5 linked regions of the Xenopus tropicalis genome follow. The protein of the gene in region 1 interacts with the protein of each later gene in a pairwise test. Links are inferred from orthologs where the notes say so. Each region holds a gene or a part of one and is shown in the gene's direction. Other genes may lie near its edges.

The links.
Region 2: the proteins of nmi (region 1) and mtmr9 interact in binary tests that used the Homo sapiens proteins (3 or more experiments, as listed by UniProt). The two-hybrid records come from large-scale screens. The link is inferred for Xenopus tropicalis from reciprocal best matches to the Homo sapiens genes NMI and MTMR9.
Region 3: the proteins of nmi (region 1) and gcsh interact in binary tests that used the Homo sapiens proteins (3 or more experiments, as listed by UniProt). The two-hybrid records come from large-scale screens. The link is inferred for Xenopus tropicalis from reciprocal best matches to the Homo sapiens genes NMI and GCSH.
Region 4: the proteins of nmi (region 1) and ube2i interact in a two-hybrid assay, tested with the Homo sapiens proteins (3 studies listed by BioGRID and IntAct). The link is inferred for Xenopus tropicalis from reciprocal best matches to the Homo sapiens genes NMI and UBE2I.
Region 5: the proteins of nmi (region 1) and emilin1 interact in binary tests that used the Homo sapiens proteins (3 or more experiments, as listed by UniProt). The two-hybrid records come from large-scale screens. The link is inferred for Xenopus tropicalis from reciprocal best matches to the Homo sapiens genes NMI and EMILIN1.

What each region holds. Positions count from the first base shown.
Region 1 is NC_030685.2:76,343,470-76,347,664, forward strand, and holds the start of nmi (N-myc-interactor), read left to right. Parts: upstream 1-1,393; 5' UTR 1,394-1,574; intron 1,575-4,195. UniProt on the Homo sapiens protein: Acts as a signaling pathway regulator involved in innate immune system response.
Region 2 is NC_030681.2:150,896,147-150,898,636, reverse strand, and holds the end of mtmr9 (myotubularin-related protein 9), read left to right. Parts: intron 1-76; coding exon 77-240; 3' UTR 241-1,975; downstream 1,976-2,490. UniProt on the Homo sapiens protein: Acts as an adapter for myotubularin-related phosphatases. Increases lipid phosphatase MTMR6 catalytic activity, specifically towards phosphatidylinositol 3,5-bisphosphate and MTMR6 binding affinity for phosphorylated phosphatidylinositols.
Region 3 is NC_030680.2:52,712,791-52,716,957, forward strand, and holds the start of gcsh (glycine cleavage system H protein, mitochondrial), read left to right. Parts: upstream 1-1,359; 5' UTR 1,360-1,365; coding exon 1,366-1,504; intron 1,505-4,167. UniProt on the Homo sapiens protein: The glycine cleavage system catalyzes the degradation of glycine. The H protein (GCSH) shuttles the methylamine group of glycine from the P protein (GLDC) to the T protein (GCST).
Region 4 is NC_030685.2:28,777,782-28,781,734, reverse strand, and holds the start of ube2i (SUMO-conjugating enzyme UBC9), read left to right. Parts: upstream 1-1,137; 5' UTR 1,138-1,146; coding exon 1,147-1,212; intron 1,213-1,377; coding exon 1,378-1,461; intron 1,462-2,525; coding exon 2,526-2,598; intron 2,599-3,953. UniProt on the Homo sapiens protein: Accepts the ubiquitin-like proteins SUMO1, SUMO2, SUMO3, SUMO4 and SUMO1P1/SUMO5 from the UBLE1A-UBLE1B E1 complex and catalyzes their covalent attachment to other proteins with the help of an E3 ligase such as RANBP2, CBX4 and ZNF451.
Region 5 is NC_030681.2:161,495,938-161,499,455, forward strand, and holds part of emilin1 (EMILIN-1), read left to right. Parts: intron 1-1,581; coding exon 1,582-1,707; intron 1,708-1,987; coding exon 1,988-2,005; intron 2,006-2,995; coding exon 2,996-3,130; intron 3,131-3,518. UniProt on the Homo sapiens protein: Involved in elastic and collagen fibers formation. It is required for EFEMP2 deposition into the extracellular matrix, and collagen network assembly and cross-linking via protein-lysine 6-oxidase/LOX activity.

The sequences.
Region 1 (4,195 bases):
AGAAACAATCCTGTCAGTGTACAAAGCCGTATTGGCCCCACCCGGTGCCCCGGTGCTAGTATTGTTTCCCTATGTACTGCTGGTGGAGGTAATGCAGAATAGGTGCGTATTTATCTGTGTATTTACCTGCTGTGCAATAATAATAATCCCTTCCTGAAACTATTTATTGGGTATAAAAGTCCTTGCTTGGCAGGCAGCCTTGTGCCTTTGTATAAGTATTGAATCTAATATCCAGGAACTCTTTATCCAGAAAGCTCCATATTCCATAAGCAAACCTATCTTATACAGTGTCAGATTCAGGGCCGGAACTAGGGGTAGGCACAGGAGGCACAGGCTTAGGGTGCCATGATTGGGGGGCAATAGGCATGTACCCCATGTACCCTTAGTTTGGGCCCTTGTTCCCCCACTGGCTGCTCTTTATCTCCCTTCTGCCCAAGTAGCCAATGTCCACACACACTTGCTTGTTTGTGCAGGCACAGTGGGGGCAAAGTGGGCAGCTGGCTTGCCTAGGGCACCTGTCCGGCTCGGTCTGCCGCTGGTCTTATTTCCTGTTCCTTATTTCATATTAAAACTGTGCTGTTTCTATGAAGGTAAATCAGCTGCATAAACATTGGTGTTGTTAATAGACTCATTATCCAGAAAACCCCAGGCTGCAAGTATTGCAGATAGCAGATCTATACCTGTATTGTCCTGTAACTGTTAGGGTGAAGACACACAGAGCTACTGAGTAGCAGCTACTTGTCACGGCTACTAAACACCAGAAAATCCCCTGCCATAGACAATACTGAGAATTGCCTCTGCTAAAACACACCTAGAGATAAGTATCAGTAAATGATCAGCATTGTCTATTTTAGTAGCCACAACAAGTAGCTGCTACTAGTAGCTCTGTGTGTCTTCACCCTTAGATGATTCCTAAGCTCTGATATCCTTAATATTCCCATAGTGGGTGCCCCTATCTATAGTATAATAAGCAGTAATGATTTCAAACAAGACCCTCAGCTGCTATAAGAATTAATCCATATTCACAAGGGCTGAACCCCACATTCATACCCTAAACATCTACCCCCCTCTATATTAACAATAATAAATCTGTTTTATATGACACTCCATTTGTGATTCACAAAATCACAATTTTTCAGAAAAGTTCCCTATATTATTGTGACTCCAGTTAGATCCAACTCTGTTGTTCCGACTCTCTCTTTACATAGTCGCAGGACTCTCTTTCTTTCTATACTATATTCCAGTTAAAAGGGACGTTGCGACTTTGTAGCAAGCAGAAAGCACCCACCTGACATGTCCAGTCCCTCCGTGAGCGGCTCAGACGCAGAGACAGCGCTGTATGGGGGAGTTATATGTAACAAAGAGAAAGTGAAAGCGCAGCCGTAGTTACATTCGGTTTCTATTCAGGAGAAACGGAAGGACACACAATATCTCAGCTCGTTTATTAGACAGAATCCTTACCAGACACACACAGATAATACATTTGAAAATTTTCTCAGAAGTTAAGGTTATCGCTGGGAATATTCCTGGACAGTCGGGATTGCGACTCCTGAGCACAGACTGCGCTGCGCTGGGTAAGCAACTGCCTCCCCCTCCCTGTAGGGCTGTGACTGGGTGTATGAGTGAGCATTCTGCCTAATGGCTGTTATGTTACTAACCAGACTGGTGGGACCTTAAAGGAGACATATCCTATAAAAATTATGACTGTACCAGTGAATTATACTCCTCTAGATATAGAAGGATTGGGCTTAAAAAGTTGTGTTTCAAAATGATTTTTTGAGAAATTCCAGAAAAAGCCCACTAGCCCCGCCCATCTGTGCCACTTCCTGCTGGCTGAATTCTCTGGATGAGCTGGGGAGCTGGCGGCCCTCCGTACCCTGCACTGTAGGATAGGAACCAATCAGCAGCTAGGCTGACCTGATAGGGAACTGAAGCCTGTCTGTGCTTGTGTGACTGCAGGGCTGTGATTGGCTCTCCCCCTCCTACTGTGCTTCTGGCAGGGACCGTTAGGACACGCCCACTCTTCATTTCAAACTCGGACAGAGAAGTGAGAGGATCTATAGGGAGCTCCAATAAAGGGGCCATTGTTACAGATAGGGTTAATGTTTAGCCCAAAGGGAAACCAGCACCGGATATTATTCATAATTGCCTACAAAATTACCTTTTTTTCCCATTTATCCAATATGTCTCCTTTAATGGCTACATTGGTTTAGCAGAGCTGCATGTCTGCCACTAATACACAATACTTTTGTGGTTTCTCTACATTTTTTATTTAATTGAGACATTTCTTGTTAAAGTGAAGAATGTTCTCCTCCTATAGAAGGATTGTGCTTAAAAAAGTAGTGTTTTGAGCTGATTTATTTAGAAATTACCCCAAAACCCCACTAGTCCCGCCCAGTGTCGGGCTGAGAACCCAGGGGCCCACCTGAAAACCTTACACCCTAGGCCCACTCTCCAAACAGTTTTTCTCCTTGTCTCCTAGTCTCTTTTATTTACATGCTAGCATCTATTCTTCCATCTATTTCTCCTCTTTGTTTTCATTCAGAAATAGGGAATGACCATGAAACAGGCCAAATGGTCAGGAGCAGGAGAGCCCACCGGGAGTTTTCCTGGTATCCTGATAGGCCAGTCTGACACTAGTCCCGCCCATCTGTTCCACTTCCTGCTGCTCCTTTCCCAGGCTGTGCAGGGGGGCTCACAGCACTCAGCACACTGCACTGTAGGATAGGAACCAATCAGCAGCTAGGCTGACCTGAAGCCTGTCCTTTAGTGATGGGCGAAATGTTTCACCAGGCATTGATTCGCAGCGAATTTCGGCATTTCACCATTGGCGGATTTTTTTGCGAAACAGATGAAAAAATTTGCAGTGCGTCCAAAAATTGTCACCTGCATCAAAACAAATTGTCGTACATCAAAAGAATTGTCGTCCGCGTCAAAAGGATTTTTTTTTTTTTTGGCGTTTCGCAAATCTTGCATCCCTAATTAGAACACGCCCACCCCTCATTTGAAACACAGACTGTGATGTTGCTCCCAGGGGCCTCAAAGCAGGGGCTTATTTTTGAATTCCTGACTTGGGGGCAAGTTTTGGTTGCATTAAACTCAGTGTAAAACCAAACAGAGCCTTCTATAGGCTGCCAATCCACATAGGGGCTACCAAATAGCCAATTATAGCCCTTATTTGCACCCCAGGAATTTTTTCCATGCTTGCGTTGCTCCCAACACCATTTGAATGTAGCTCCCAGGTATAGAAGGTTGGGGATCCCTGCTCTATAGGGAGCTCCAACAAAGGGGCCATTTTTATAGATAATGTTCATTTTTCGACCAAAGTGAAACCAGCACCATATACTGTATTATTCATAACTGCCTACAGAATTAGAGGGTTTTTATTTCATTTATCTAATATGTCTTCTTTAAACATCACATTTACCCAAAAATAATGTTTTCCTAATAAAAGAAAATATAATTCTAATTTTATTTCATTAGGCAAAAATTATTTGAGGGGGTTGAGGTCCTTTAACCTTTTTTTACCGCTTCCTGATTGTTATCATGTGAAATTCGCAGTCAGACTTTATGGCAAATTACAAAAACGTATACAGGCAGCGACAAGAGGTCCTTTCCACTCACCCATTATCAATATATACAGAACATTAAGACATTTTGTACATTGTTACCAAGCAATGCCCCCCCCTCTGGTCACAGCCTCATTGCACCCCCGCCTAATGGCTTAATATTTAGTGGTGGGCACAACCTCCCCTTGTTTGTTATAAATGACAGTAAACCGACTGCCTGGGGGTGCCCTCAGGTCCCTACAAGGGTTACAGGTACAGAAGGCTCAGTAACTTTTCTCTCTGTTATGAAGTTAAATGAAAGTCAAGCTCATTGGAATGTGTTTACCTGTAAAGTGAAAAGAGAAAGAACTTCCAAACTATATTTCTGTAGGATTCTTTGTGATCTCTTTCCCTTCTGCATTATAAAGTACGTTTCCCACTTTCCGCACATTTGCTGTATCTCTGTGGCTATTACTTTTGAATGCAAGTGCAGGATGCTAGTTTGGATACATTGATGATATTCAGAAAGTGATTTGGCCCAGACATGGTCCTTTGCAACTTGTGGGAACAGCAAATGCTCCCTTTTAGCCTACTGCGATGAAATACACAGATACTTGCACAAGGGGACTCTGGATATTCCAGCTGCC
Region 2 (2,490 bases), on another chromosome or scaffold:
CCCCTTTTTTTACCCCCCCACCCCAGTAATAGTTCTGCTGTTGACTGACAGAACTCTTCTTCCTTCCCTGTATCAGGTGTTTTCCTGCGTTGGAACAGATCATCCAAGTACCTAGAAGAAGCCTATGAAGAGATGGCTCACATTATCGAGTACAACAAGGAGCTGCAAGTGAAAGTGAATGCTCTCCGGAGGCAGCTTGCCGAACTGGAGACAGAGGATGGGGTGCTGGAGACTCCCTAATGGGAATGCTGGCAAAATCTCTGGCTTCACTCAAGGGCACAGTAATGCTTACATGACTCCACAGTAACAAACTCACCCCAAACCAACCAATCCTTTTTAAACCACTTTATTTCTTAAAGGGACACTATCACCTTATATTAACTTTGTATATTAAGTCTTGTTATGCCAGCAAGGTTGCAGTTGCTCTTTATTCTCTCTCTTCATTCTACTTTCCCCCCTGCCTGGGACTGTGGGACTTTAACAACCAAATAATGGGTTACATTCCAAATTAGAGGGCAGGAACAGAAAGTTTGAAGAAATAACAAAATGAAGACCAACTGCAACTTATGTAATCATGCCACTGTTTACAGTTTACAGGTTTATTTTCGCATAGAGAGAAATGTATAGTAGTGGGGAGTTAATTGTGTGCATAAAAATCCTTTTCTGCCTATTTGCAGTGTTAGGAATGCTATACTGAACTTCTAGGCTGTATAGAGTTATCTATATCTAGATAGAATATCCCCATACAATATATTTAATGGGTAAAAAACCATTAATGGAGAAGGAATCAGTATGGCAGCACCCACCCAAATATAAATGCAAATAAGCAGAGCAGGGGCATTCTTTGCACACAGTATGTTCTCCTCTCTTACTGTACTGTAGTTACTACTTATCAATAATGTAAGTAACTGCCCTATTACATGGCTGGCTGTGATAGGATAAAACAGATATATTGACCAATCCGAGGCTTCCTGCTTGTAGAGCTGAGCACCAATGGCAGTGCTGTGACGGGAAGCCTCAGTGGAAGCTATTGGATATTTGAGATTTCCGGCAAGTTTAGGGGAAGCTTTGCACATATCAGGGTCTTTAAGCATTACTGTGCCCCCCAACCCTGCCATACACAGTCAGTGTGTAACATACAGGGAGGGGACACGTTTACACACACACGTGACGCATGCACTACATACTCCTTTGGTGCCATCAGTGTGATCCTATTAGATACCTGTGCTGCAAATCCAATGGCAGCCAACAGGTGTAGATAAGAAATCCCTGCCTATATAAGCCCTATAGAATCAGTTTAATCCATTTCCTTGGTGTTTGATTATTTAGGTCTAGTTTGCCTTGTGCAGTGATCGTCAGTCTGTGGCTCCCCAGAACTACAACTCTCAGTAGGAGAGCCACGGGTTACATAGCCCTAGGGGCCTGTTTATAAAAACTGCAGTCCAGAATAAACCCTGGAAAAACAGATGGAGAAATTGTTGTTAAATATTTTCCTGCATTTACATTTCCTTGCAGTTTTAGAAATAGGCCCCTGGGACATGTATATGTTGTTCTGGGGTTCGGCCACCAGATGGCAATGTTACATAATGAACACTTGAATTTGCCTCTGAAACCCCCTACCTCTCCCTCAGACACTCCTACAGGCTCCCAAATTGCACATTTTGCACAACACCCAAATGATCTAATTGCCTGCACTTCGTTGTACCTGTGTTTGTCTTTTCTTTTCTCGTATATGTGATTGTAATTAATAGATTATTTGTGAATGCTTAAACTAACCTTAGGGGATGTCACACTTCTGACCTGCCAAACTGCAGTTTCCGACGGCTGGCTGAGCATGCTGGGAGCTGTGGTCCTCGGCAGCAGCAGTAGAGGTGATGTTATGTTCTATCTCTATCCGTGTATTAAATATCAAAGGGAAAGCTAATGTATTTGTGACTGAGAATGTTTGTACAGTAATGAAGTAGACTTCAATCTGTTCCAGGTATTGTTGTTGCTAATTATTTATTGTCAATAAGAGCAAGTAGAGAATCTATTCAGGTTCTGGTATATATATTCATTATCGGATTTAGGGTAACAGCATGGGGGGGGGGGGCAATGGGGAGATAAAAGGATTTTCCTTGCCAGTGGCTGCTTTGTGTTCTGCTGGGCTGGCCCCCTAAAACATTGGTGGTTCTCCCCCAGTGTCCCCATACTATGGCCTGTTTCCCGCTATCCCCTGTGACCTCTGGCTCCCTGCTGCGTCCCGCTGACCACCAATGACAGGCCCATAATTGTTTAAAGAGGGCCCTAGCCAAAACACTGTATCATAAGCGAGAATCGACTGCCCCCCCTGATGGTGGCCCTGAAAGTAATGCAGTAAAAGCCACATAATTAGCAGCAGGTGTAGTAGCCCAGCACAGCCAATCACATCTTTGCTTTCTAACCGGGGTGTGTGTTATTGTTAGTGTGTTATTAATTGGTGCAATCCTTCCATCCAAACCTATTTGTTAG
Region 3 (4,167 bases), on another chromosome or scaffold:
CCCATGTTGGATCCAATTCACAAGATAGAAACGTGGTGTTCTCTAGAATACCGACCTGGGCAAGTGAATTTTTTAGTCGAACCAAGGGTCTGAGTTAATAATACTAGCATACCCCAGTGATGAATCCTTAACTTGTCCTTAGAGTAAATAACATTTGATATGCCATATCTGGCAGGCAAAGCATAAGGACATAATCTACCATATAGAAATAGGATCTGTTATATACAATGCATTACACTTCAGGTTTTCAAGCACCCCACTGTGTACTTTTGCCACACCAGGCAGGCAGTGGGCCTAGGTTTGAGCCTGGGCCCGCTAGGTTTTCTCCTGTAGTCCTGCTGACCCTGTCCTAGCCTGTGGACAAGTGTTATTAGTGGAGTACCTTGGCACTGCTTTTTCATTTGTTTATTAATAATCTTGAGGTGGGAATTGTGTAAGTACTATCTCTATTTTTGCTAATGATAATAAATTGTATGAAACTATAATTTCTATGCGGGATGCTGCCACTTTGCTCAGAGATTTGACTAAAATGGAAAACTAGGCAGCAAATTAGGAAATAAAGTTACATGTTAATAGGTGCAAGGTTATGCACTAATAACATAAATGGAAGCTGTACACTAAATGGTATTGTGTTGTGGGCATCCATAATTGGAAAGGATCTGGGGACTTTTATGAATAATAAACCATTACCATGTCAATCAGTGGCTACTAAAGCAAATAAACTACTTTCTTGCATAAAAAGTGGCTTTCAGGCAATGACATTTCTGGGGCCTCCTCATTGCAGGAGTGGCCCTGTGAACAGGGGAGCTTCAGTGCCCCTTTAAATGCTGAAATTCCAGTTAATAGAGCAGAAATTGGCTATGGAGGCAAGTACTTTTAAGGAATAGAATTTTTCTCACAAGGATTATGTGCTCAACAACAACTGCCACTTGTTGTTCTGTTCCACATTTGTCTTCTAGCTTACACCTTTGGCTTATGTAGGGTTCGTAATTTGTTAAAAATATATTTCATGATTGATTCTTTATAGTGCAAACCCCATAAACTGTAAATTGTACGGTACCACAGCATAATGCAAACGTGATTGATCACAATGCTTTCCGTGTATTGTAAAACTGATCAGTTACAAAAGTTAATTTTGGTTACCTGTACTGCAAATATTTCTTAATATGCTACTATTATATAAATGTGCGTATTTGGGCTAATAATTCTCAACTACATAGAACCTGCAACTTTATCGCTTCTAACGCAGCCATGCCAGCACCTTAACCCCGCCCCCTTAGTGCGCATGCGCGCTCCCCTGTCCTGATCTCACGCCGACCCGGAACGTTGTATCGGCGCGGCACCTGGAGCTCAGCGCTCAGGAAAATGGCGATGCGTGTGCTGAGCGCGATGAGAGTCCTGAGTACAGTGACCCTTGTGCGGCGTCCCGCCCAGGAGTGCCGCCTGGTATGGAGGTCGTGCTTGGTCAGGAGCTTGGCCACCGGCTCCCAGTTGCTCTCCTCTGGTGAGTTTCTCGCCTGGGCGGCAAGTTGCAACTTTACTTATCCAGTTGTATCCTGTTCGTTCTGCATCTGAGCTTGCTAGGCACGTATGTCATTGCACATAATGTATAACATATATCCACTGACAGTGCACATACCGCGTCCGCCCTGCTTATATGAGAACCAGGGAGCCTTTTGGATGTTACTTGTGTATATGTGTGCTCATGTGGCCGGCATAACTTGCTACATGTATTTAATGACTGGCCGTGCAGTGTTATTTGGTTCTCTCTGTGCTGTGTCCCGGCTGCATGCAATGCCCCACTGTGCTTGGGATTGGCTGCTTTCTGCATGCATGGAACAGTATCCAGTATAGATGTAATTGTGAGATGATACATTAAATATACTTGTAGTTACATGCAGGTATATGGAGAGTTTTACATATTTTCATTATCCTACAATAAAGCACATTCATTATATTTATATTCTTAAATTAATGCCTCCCCCCCCCCAAACAGTCAATGGTTTTGAACTAATATGTAACTATAACTGCTATTAAAAGCAGCATCTATCTGGCTGTTCCTGTCCTCTGCCCTGGTGGTTGTGACTTTTGAAGCAATGTAGCAGAAGCCAGCTGATTAACCTGCAAAGAACAATGCAAGGCTGACTCCTGCTATAGGGTTTCAGGAGAGAAGTAGCAGTGCAGAAAGGGACAGTAGGTTTCTGCTTTCAGTTCCGTTTACAAACAACTTGGATTTATTTGATGATTATTTAATGGAAAGTTTCTTTAAATTACATTTCCTTTCATTAGGCAAAGTTTAATTTTTGGTTTACATCACCTTTAAATCACCCCCCAGTGTTAACTTTGTACTTTGCTTAGCTTTCTAGACTATGGACTTTTTCTGCTGGCTGCTCGCTTACATGTGCAACTTTCAAGCATTTAAGATATATGCGCCATTGCTGCCTGAATGTACTATAAACACAAGAAATTGTGCAATACCAATGAAACTGAGCAATACTCACGAGCATTTTTGCAGACATCTGCAAGCATTTAAAAAAACAAAACAATATTCCAGCTTTTGTTGACTGTTATAATGGATATCTGGATTTGAACATACAGACATCATGTGCTAGGTAGCCCTGTGACTAGCACTACTCCAGGCGTTTTGCTGTTGATTCCAGTGTCAGACCTGCTTTGATATACCCTGTGCTCCAGTACAGGTCCTAGTGCCAGTGTTTGTTTTAAAGGCGATGTGGGGATTTTTAAGGATTTAAATTTGTAAATTTAAATAATGTTTCCAATGTGCATTAATCTGAAAAAATAGCATTTTCAGTATCTCTACCTGATCAGGTAACGTTGAAGGGATCTTTAGCCCCATGCTTTTTGGCTAAACCAGGGGGCCCGCTGGTTGGTACTGTTCTCTTTGTGCCCTCAGTAACAGAGCACAGAACATGAAAGATATCCCCACTGGTGTAAGCAACATTGTCAAATGCATAGTAATCTACATTACAGTTTAATTTTATAGTGCTATACAACCTGCCATCAGTCCTTGCATTTACCTCCTGCACTTTGGGTTCAAGTAAAAATACAGCACCATCTGCTTGTTTTGTGGATACTAATAGGACATCAGTCTTGCATTTTGAGGTGGTATACATGCCGCGTATGCCATCCCACTGGGGATTTACATTCTAGCCGCTGGGATGGCATTTTGGGGAGATTAGTCACCCGTGTCAAGGGAGATCTGTCGCGCAGCGACTTATCTCCCCGTGTCTCACAGCCCTAAGGGCTCTGGCAGATGGGGAGACTAGTCGCCTGCGAGAAATCTCCCTTGTCGTGGGCGACTAATCTCCGCGAAATACCATCCCACCGGCGAGTATGTAAATCGCAGGTGGGATGGCATACACAGTGCCGCGATTTCCCCAAAATCCTCTCAAGGCCGCGGATGCCATCCCACCGGCGACTTACATTTTCACCGGTGGGATGGAATTTCGGGGAGATTAGTCGCCCGCGACAAGGGAGATCTGTCGCGGGTGACTAGTCTCCCCGTCTGCCAGAGCCCTAACAGTGCGCAGGGTATTCAAAGAATGAATGCCCATGGCATTTATGTTATCTGCAATATATTTGATAAAGCATAAATCACTTACTTGTGTTTGACATATATACATCATTTTTATTTATGTAATTAAATATTAAATTGTGTATTGGTAGGCTGCTACCTGCAACAACTACTACTTGTTTAGTCTACCCAGCATTATATTTTACTCCAAAAGATATGACATATTATTCTCTGTTTATGATTGACAAAGGGGTAGGGCAGCATTATCTGTTGAAGTGAAGTCCTTTTTCTTTTGCTGAGTTGTTGAGTTTTGTTAAGCATACAATCTTAGTCCAAGACTTTAAGCTCGAGGACGCCAAACAAGTGGATCTTTCCACCGGAGTAATCCGCCAGGATAAGCACCTGTCAGAGCAAGGGAAAAATGATGGAAAAAAAATCAAAACTGCCTAATCGACATCTGCCCAATTTTAGGCCAGATATTGGTTTGGTAGACCCGTCCAGGGTCCCCATACACGTGCAGATAAGCTGCTGAATTGGTCTGTAGGGTTCAAATCAGCAACTTAAATCTGCCCATATATGCCTACCTTTAGTCACAGGAGTGACCTTACAATATGCATTCCTGCTCTGCTGTT
Region 4 (3,953 bases), about 48 Mb from region 1:
CTTCTCAGGGAGGGAGGGGGGGGGGGCATGGGGTCAGCTTGCCGGCACGCGTGCAGCATGGAATTGCTAAAGTATTAATTTTCATGCCCAAATCTACCTGTCAGCGCACACGTAAAGGAAAGGAAGGCAACAGGTTGGTTTTCTCTGCTGGCATACCATGCCACCGCTGAACTTGGCACTTGTGGTCCAAAAACTGTCCAGTTGCCATAGCAGAGCACAGCAAACTCTTTGCAGTGACAGGCAGCCTCTACTCTGAAATGCTTGCTTTGGCATAGCCCGCTGCTGCCAGTGCCAGCACCCATAACCATAGGAAGAGCATTACCCAGTGTGTGCTGCAGCAAGCAGTGCCACACCTTTGTGTGAGTTTTGACCTCAGAGGATGGGAGTGGCAATTATTGACGGCTCCAGATGAGTTTTCTGGGTGATTCCTTTTGGTACATGCGTCACCAAGTGACAGAATTCAGAATTTAATATTAGTTATGCATTGGAAATGTGTTGATGTAAATCTCAATATGAAGGAAAATCCTTGTGGGTGGGGGACTTAACTGTGACAGCCTACTCAATGCTGGGCCAGGAGCTGCCATTTACACATTTGGATTTGCGCTTACCGCACTAATATGCCTTTTATATGCGCTCTTAGACTGTTATACCAAACAGCCTGGGAAGCATTGCAGGGTTCCTTGTACAGTGTTTATGATGTGCAAGTAGGGTGTATCTTGGATTATTATCCTGATATCTGTGGTACGTATAATATAAAGGGTTACATTTATATTATGCTGCAATGGTCACAAACCGTAATTTTGCCCCATGAGGTAAGAATACAAATACTCCAGTGTTAACAAAACTCTACAAAATGACATTTACCTTTTAAAGTTGCTCTAAGAATAATATATGTTTACACTAATGTGGAAAAGTGGTGGTTTTACTGCCTTTACAGGACGCATTAATGCTTTTGACTCTTTACTGCCTCGGTAATAAGCATATACGTTTCATATTCAGATTACTAGAGTTCAACCACTAGGTGTCACTGTCATGCAAGTTTTTGGATACATTGCAGTAAGTTTGCTTATTTTCTGTTTAAACTATGTTTGGTTATGTATACTGTTATTTCACCAGTATTAATTTCTTTTCTGCAGGAACCCTGAAATGTCTGGCATAGCCCTGAGCAGACTTGCACAGGAGAGAAAAGCGTGGAGAAAAGACCATCCTTTTGTAAGTTCAAGAAAGTGAAAAACTAACCAGAACAGTGTTCTCTTCAAGAAATAGTATAAGTAGTTTAAAAAAAAAAATCCTAAATTGTTAAACTGCCCTGCCCTTTTAAGATGCAAACAACTTAAAAACTAATACTTTGGGGGTTTTTTTCTTATCTATTTTAAGGGTTTTGTGGCAGTACCAACGAAAAATCCAGATGGCACAATGAATTTGATGAACTGGGAATGTGCTATTCCAGGCAAGAAAGGGGTAAGTGTTAGAATCCTTCCCTGAAACAGCAGTACAGAATTTCTACCTAGCAGTGCTCCCTTGATACCATAAAATAGCCAAATAAGTGAAGCAACCTTCTGCAACCTTGCATAACCAATGTACAACCTTAACACACTTACATTCAGGTGTAGCTGCAGTTAGCAGGTATTGCACTTTGCTTGGTTACAGGATGCACCATTGCCTGGCACCCAGGGGCTGTGACACATGCAACCCTATGGAACACTCGAAGGAAACATGCAGGGGGGGCAGTTTTATATCCTACATCTGATCACATTACCAGCTTGTAAATGCTGTTTAGGTGTAAAAGGACAACCTTTCATGCACTGAACTAACACGTATGCACTATGCTACATGTCTGAGGACAGATTATAATGGCTGTGGATGAATCCTAGGCCATTAAAATCCCTTGAAGGACCACATCCAGCCCATGGAGCTTAAAAATATCCACTAAACCTCCTGTTTATTGACTTTGGGGACTGAAATGCCCCAGGGTCTGCAAGTGGAGTGAGGTGAATTGTGATTGGCAGCAGTTAGGTTTGCTGCACTGGGCTTAATGGAACCCATCTGAGCAGGGCAGCAAAATAGCTTCTGTGTTTGGTGCTAAAATGACGCTTGGTCATTTAAACATGATTTACTCTATTTATACAAATGTTTCCCTTTTAAATAAGCCACAACTACCCATCTGCTGTGTGACTACATATTCCTCAGGGGAGATGAAGGGTTCAAACTCTCTAGTGGCTGTGTGAGCTGTAATAAACACTACAGACTGCAATAACATGCAATTTCACTTCATGGCTCCTCCAGCCAATCCTCCTTACCAGGAGCAGGAATGGTTTGTTTTTTTTGCAATCTGTCACCATAGTACCTGCAAAAATATTTTAAAAAAGACTAGAGTGAAATTGGTGACCTATGAAGAATATTGTCTCTTGGAGAGAAAAAAAATAGTTTAATGTCCTGGTTATGGACTATATTAAATCTGTTTATAAACCAGTGATTCTACCCATAACTTATATCTGCAATTTCATTTTTTCTTCTTCTTGCAGACCCCTTGGGAAGGTGGCTTATTTAAATTACGGATGCTTTTTAAGGATGATTATCCCTCCTCACCTCCTAAATGTAAGTGCCTTAATTCCTAAATCCCTTCCTTTAAAACCAGTGCTTCTCTTGTTAGAAGCATGTGTATAGGGCAGGGTGATGATTGCCTATCCCAAGGAAATGGAGATAAAAGATTGGCACTGTAATGCTCTGAAGGCTCATTCCCATGATGCTTTACCTTAGAAATTGCTCTGTTTTTGTTTTTTTGTGCTGGTGAATAATAGATTCAAGGCTCTCTGAGTAAACTACATGGTCAAAAGTATGCTGACACTAAAGATTCGGCAGCTAATCGGCCCGTGTATGGGCAGAACCGAGCGGCCTGGCCGACCGATATCTGGCCTGAAATTGGCCAGATCTCAATCGGCCAGGTTAGAAAATCCAGTCGGATCGGGGACCGCATCGGCTCGTTGATGTGGTCCCCGAACCGACTGCCCCATGCCCCATACTCGCATATATACGGTACATAGATGCTGGTGAAATGCGATCGCTGCGCGCGCACCTACACCCCTTCCTCCGTGGGCCACCTGCACGCGCGGCATCATACGTGCAGATTCAGACATGCGGCAATGCTCAGACGTGCCTGGATACAACTGCTTTATGCATAGGAAAGTGACGAGCAGCGCCAGCATCGGCTACTCACCAGGAACGAGCACAGTCAGGCACCGATGCGACACGCATCGGCGGCGGTATCAGACCGCCTATGGATATGTGACAGCAAGTGTAAGAAATGGCTGTAATATATATATATATATATAATATTATAAGTCCCCTTTCCTAACTGGCTCCGTCACATTATGAACATGGGCATAAAGACATTAAAATTCTGAAGTGTGTCAGCACTGCTCAAAATTTGCTCCCTTGATCCCATGTCCTTTTTCTACTTAAAGGGATATTATCATGATTTTGTTTATTCTGTAATACTATTACACTGTGCGCTTTGCAAATAATTCCTCCTACCATTTCAAACTCCAGCTAATTTCAAACTAATTAATGTTTGGTTTTTTTGTCATCAATCTCAATTTATTGTGCATGGTCGTTTGCTTGCAGTATGTTCTTCAGACACTACTGACTGGTATTCAATTCTTATCTTATTTTTCTCCTTGTCTTCTTTTAAAGGAACAGTAACACCAAAAAATGAAAGTGTATAAAAGTAACTAAAATATAATGTGCTGCTGCCCTGCACTGGTAAAAGTTGTGTGTTTACTTCAGAAAGTCTACTATAATTTATATAAATAAGCTGCTGTGTAGCCATGGGGGCAGCCATTCAAAGGAGAAAAGGCACAGGCACATAGCAGATAACAGATAAAACACTATTGTATTCTACAGAGCTTATCTGTTATCTGCTATGTAACCTGTGCCTTTTCTCCTTTTTCCAG
Region 5 (3,518 bases), on another chromosome or scaffold:
CAGTGTGAGCCCAATATATACCAGTGCGAGCCCAATATATACCAGTGCGAGCCCGATATATACCAGTGCGAGCCCGATATATACCAGTGCGAGCCCAATATATACCAGTGTGAGCCCAATATATACCAGTGCAAACCCAATATATACCAGTGCAAACCCAATATATACCAGTCTGAGCCCAATATATACCAGTGCAAACCCAATATATACCAGTCTGAGCCCAATATATACCAGTGTGAGCCCGATATATACCAGTGCGAGCCCGATATATACCAGTGCGAGCCCGATATATACCAGTGCGAGCCCGATATATACCAGTGCGAGCCTAATATATACCAGTGCGAGCCCAATATATACCAGTGCGAGCCCAATATATACCAGTGTGAGCCCAATATATACCAGTGCAAACCCAATATATACCAGTCTGAGCCCAAAATATACCAGTGCGAGCCCATATATACCAGTGCGAGCCCGATATATACCAGTGCGAGCCCCGATATATACCAGTGCGAGCCCGATATATACCAGTGCGAGCCCAATATATACCAGTCTGAGCCCAATATATACCAGTGCGAGCCCAATATATACCAGTGCGAGCCCAATATATACCAGTGCGAGCCCAATATATACCAGTGCGAGCCCAGTATATACCAGTGCGAGCCCAATATATACCAGTGTGAGCCCAATATATACCAGTGTGAGCCCAGTATATACCAGTGTGAGCCCAATATATACCAGTGTGAGCCCAGTATATACCAGTATGAGACCAATATATACCAGTGTGAGCCCAATATATACCAGTGCGAGCCCAATATATACCAGTGCGAGCCCAATATATACCAGTGCGAGCCCAGTATATACCAGTGTGAGCCCAATATATACCAGTGTGAGCCCAGTATATACCAGTATGAGACCAATATATACCAGTGTGAGCCCAATATATACCAGTGTGAGCCCAATATATACCAGTGCGAGCCCAATATATACCAGTGCGAGCCCGATATATACCAGTGCGAGCCCGATATATACCAGTGTGAGCCCGATATATACCAGTGTGAGCCCGATATATACCAGTGCGAGCCCAATATATACCAGTGCGAGCCCAATATATACCAGTGTGAGCCCAGTATATACCAGTGTGAGCCCAATATATACCAGTGTGAGCCCAATATATACCAGTGCGAGCCCAATATATACCAGTGTGAGCCCAATATATACCAGTATATACCAATATTTCAAGGTACAATATATACTGAAGGGCGACAACATGGTCCCACAAATGAATTAAAGCTATTTAATATTAAAGACACGCCCAGTGGTGGGAGGGGCTTACTATTCACAACTTATTTCTATTTTTACACTGATTGTGAAGGTTTAAGGGTGGAAGGGACTCCGCCGGCCAAAAACAATATCTCTTTGTTCCAGTCTTTCAGTATTGGGCTCACGTGGGAGTATACTGCCCCCTAAAGGTCAGACTTCTCACATTCAGCCATTTTCTGTTTCATGGATAGTTACCCTCTGTGGCCCTTGCACATCCCCCCCCCCCTCATGCAGCTGTCACAGAGACCTCTCTCATTGTAGGACCCCCCGGGCTTCCTGGCCCCCCAGGCCCTCAGGGAAAACAAGGAGTTCCAGGTCCACAAGGACCTCCAGGACCCTCAGGAAAAGATGGTGCCCAAGGCAAACAGGGCCCGGTGGGACCCCCAGGTAAGGAATAAAGGATATTTTGGAAATAAACATAATTATAAGAAATAATATCGTTTTTACCCCCTAAATGCCCCATTTCTCATTAATATACAGAGTAATGTATTAAAAGGCCCCAATTGTAGTAAATCATAGCATCCAATCAGATGTTTGCTTTCAGTTAATGCTACTTGCTAATTGGTTGCTATGGGTTACTGGACTTTACATTGGCTAAATAACCCCGTGTAACCGTGTGGGAAGGGGTTAATGTATCTCATTCTTATTTCTCTCTCTTTTGCTCCAGGTCTGCGAGGAGAACAAGGTACCGCAATGGGAAATATCACCCAGCAAATGGCCCCCGTGGGATAAATGCCCCCTCCCTGGGCAATAGGGAACTCATTTACATGCCCAGCTGGCACAGTTAATGCCCAGTGACCCCCCCCCCCGCTTTTCTAAACACTAATGTAAATGGGACAGTGTGCCTTTAAATAGATAACCCCGCCCCCCCAGAGAATCAGAACTATGGGCCTGACAGGAAACTATTTAATGAAAGGTCCGCCTTGTGCTGAATTTAATGGGTTAATGGGTTTCCTTTATTACTGTCATTTACGGGAATATTTCCTGCTATTTAATTCTGGTTGATTATGGAAACTCGCCAGGAAAGGGGATTTTTTTTCATGTGTGTACGGCAGCCCCCCTCCATCCTGGCACTGCCCCCCCCCCCCCGGATCATTTGCAATTGGTCTTCATTTGTTATTTTATTTTTTTCGGTTATTTAGCTTTTGGTTTATCCACTCTCTAGTGTGGTATTTCAGCAGCAATCTGGTTGCTAGGGTCCTAATTACCCTAGCAACCAGGCAGAGGTTTGAACGAGAGATGGGAATATCAATAGGGAAAGATAGGAAATAAAAAGTAACAATAACAATAAAACTGGAGCCTCACAGAGCAATAGGGTTTGGCTGCCGGGGTCAGTGACCCCCATTTGAAAGCTGCAAAGAGGCAGAGGAGGAAGAGGCACATAATGCAAAAAATATAACAAATAAATAATGAAGACCAATTGCAAAGTTGCTAGGAATAGGCCATTCTATAACATGATGGAGAACCGCCCTTTTAACATCTCACTGCAGCCAATAGGAGCCCCTCTCTCACTCCTTGTACCCAATATACCCCTCTCAGGAGGGCAACAACAATCCATAGTAACTGGGGTAGATACAAGTCCATCACGTTTGCCCCTCGACCCTATGTATAATCAGCCAGAGGGAGGGGAACACCCTGATTTATAATAATAATGTGCCTTGTGTGTCCCCTGCAGGTCCAATAGGGGAGTCGGCCATTGCCCCAAACATTGCCTTCTCCGCTGCCCTCACTTACCCCCAGCTGGACCCCGGAACCATCATCTTTGATAAAGTCCTGGTGAATGATGGCAACGCCTACGATCCGACCAGCGGTAAGTGCCACCCTGGGCGCCAACCAACACTCACCCACCACACTGGGCTCGGCCCGTTATGTCTATAAGAAGAGAAGGTTGTTGGGGAAAGGGAGAGGGAAAGAGAAGTAAGGGGTACAGAGGGTGGGGTAAAGTCGCTATGTAGGTGGAAACTCACCAGCGCTCTGTAAGGCAATGTCACTTGCCCCCCTCTGGTGCAACACTCGCTGGGGCAACACATGGTGCCCAAATCCTTCTACCACCAATATCATTTGCACTGCCTTCTGCTGCCATATTCCCCTCTGTACCTTATATATATACCCTTTGTACCCCATATACTGTATATACACCCTCTGTACCCCATATATATACACCCTCTGTACCCCATATATATACACCCTCTGTACCC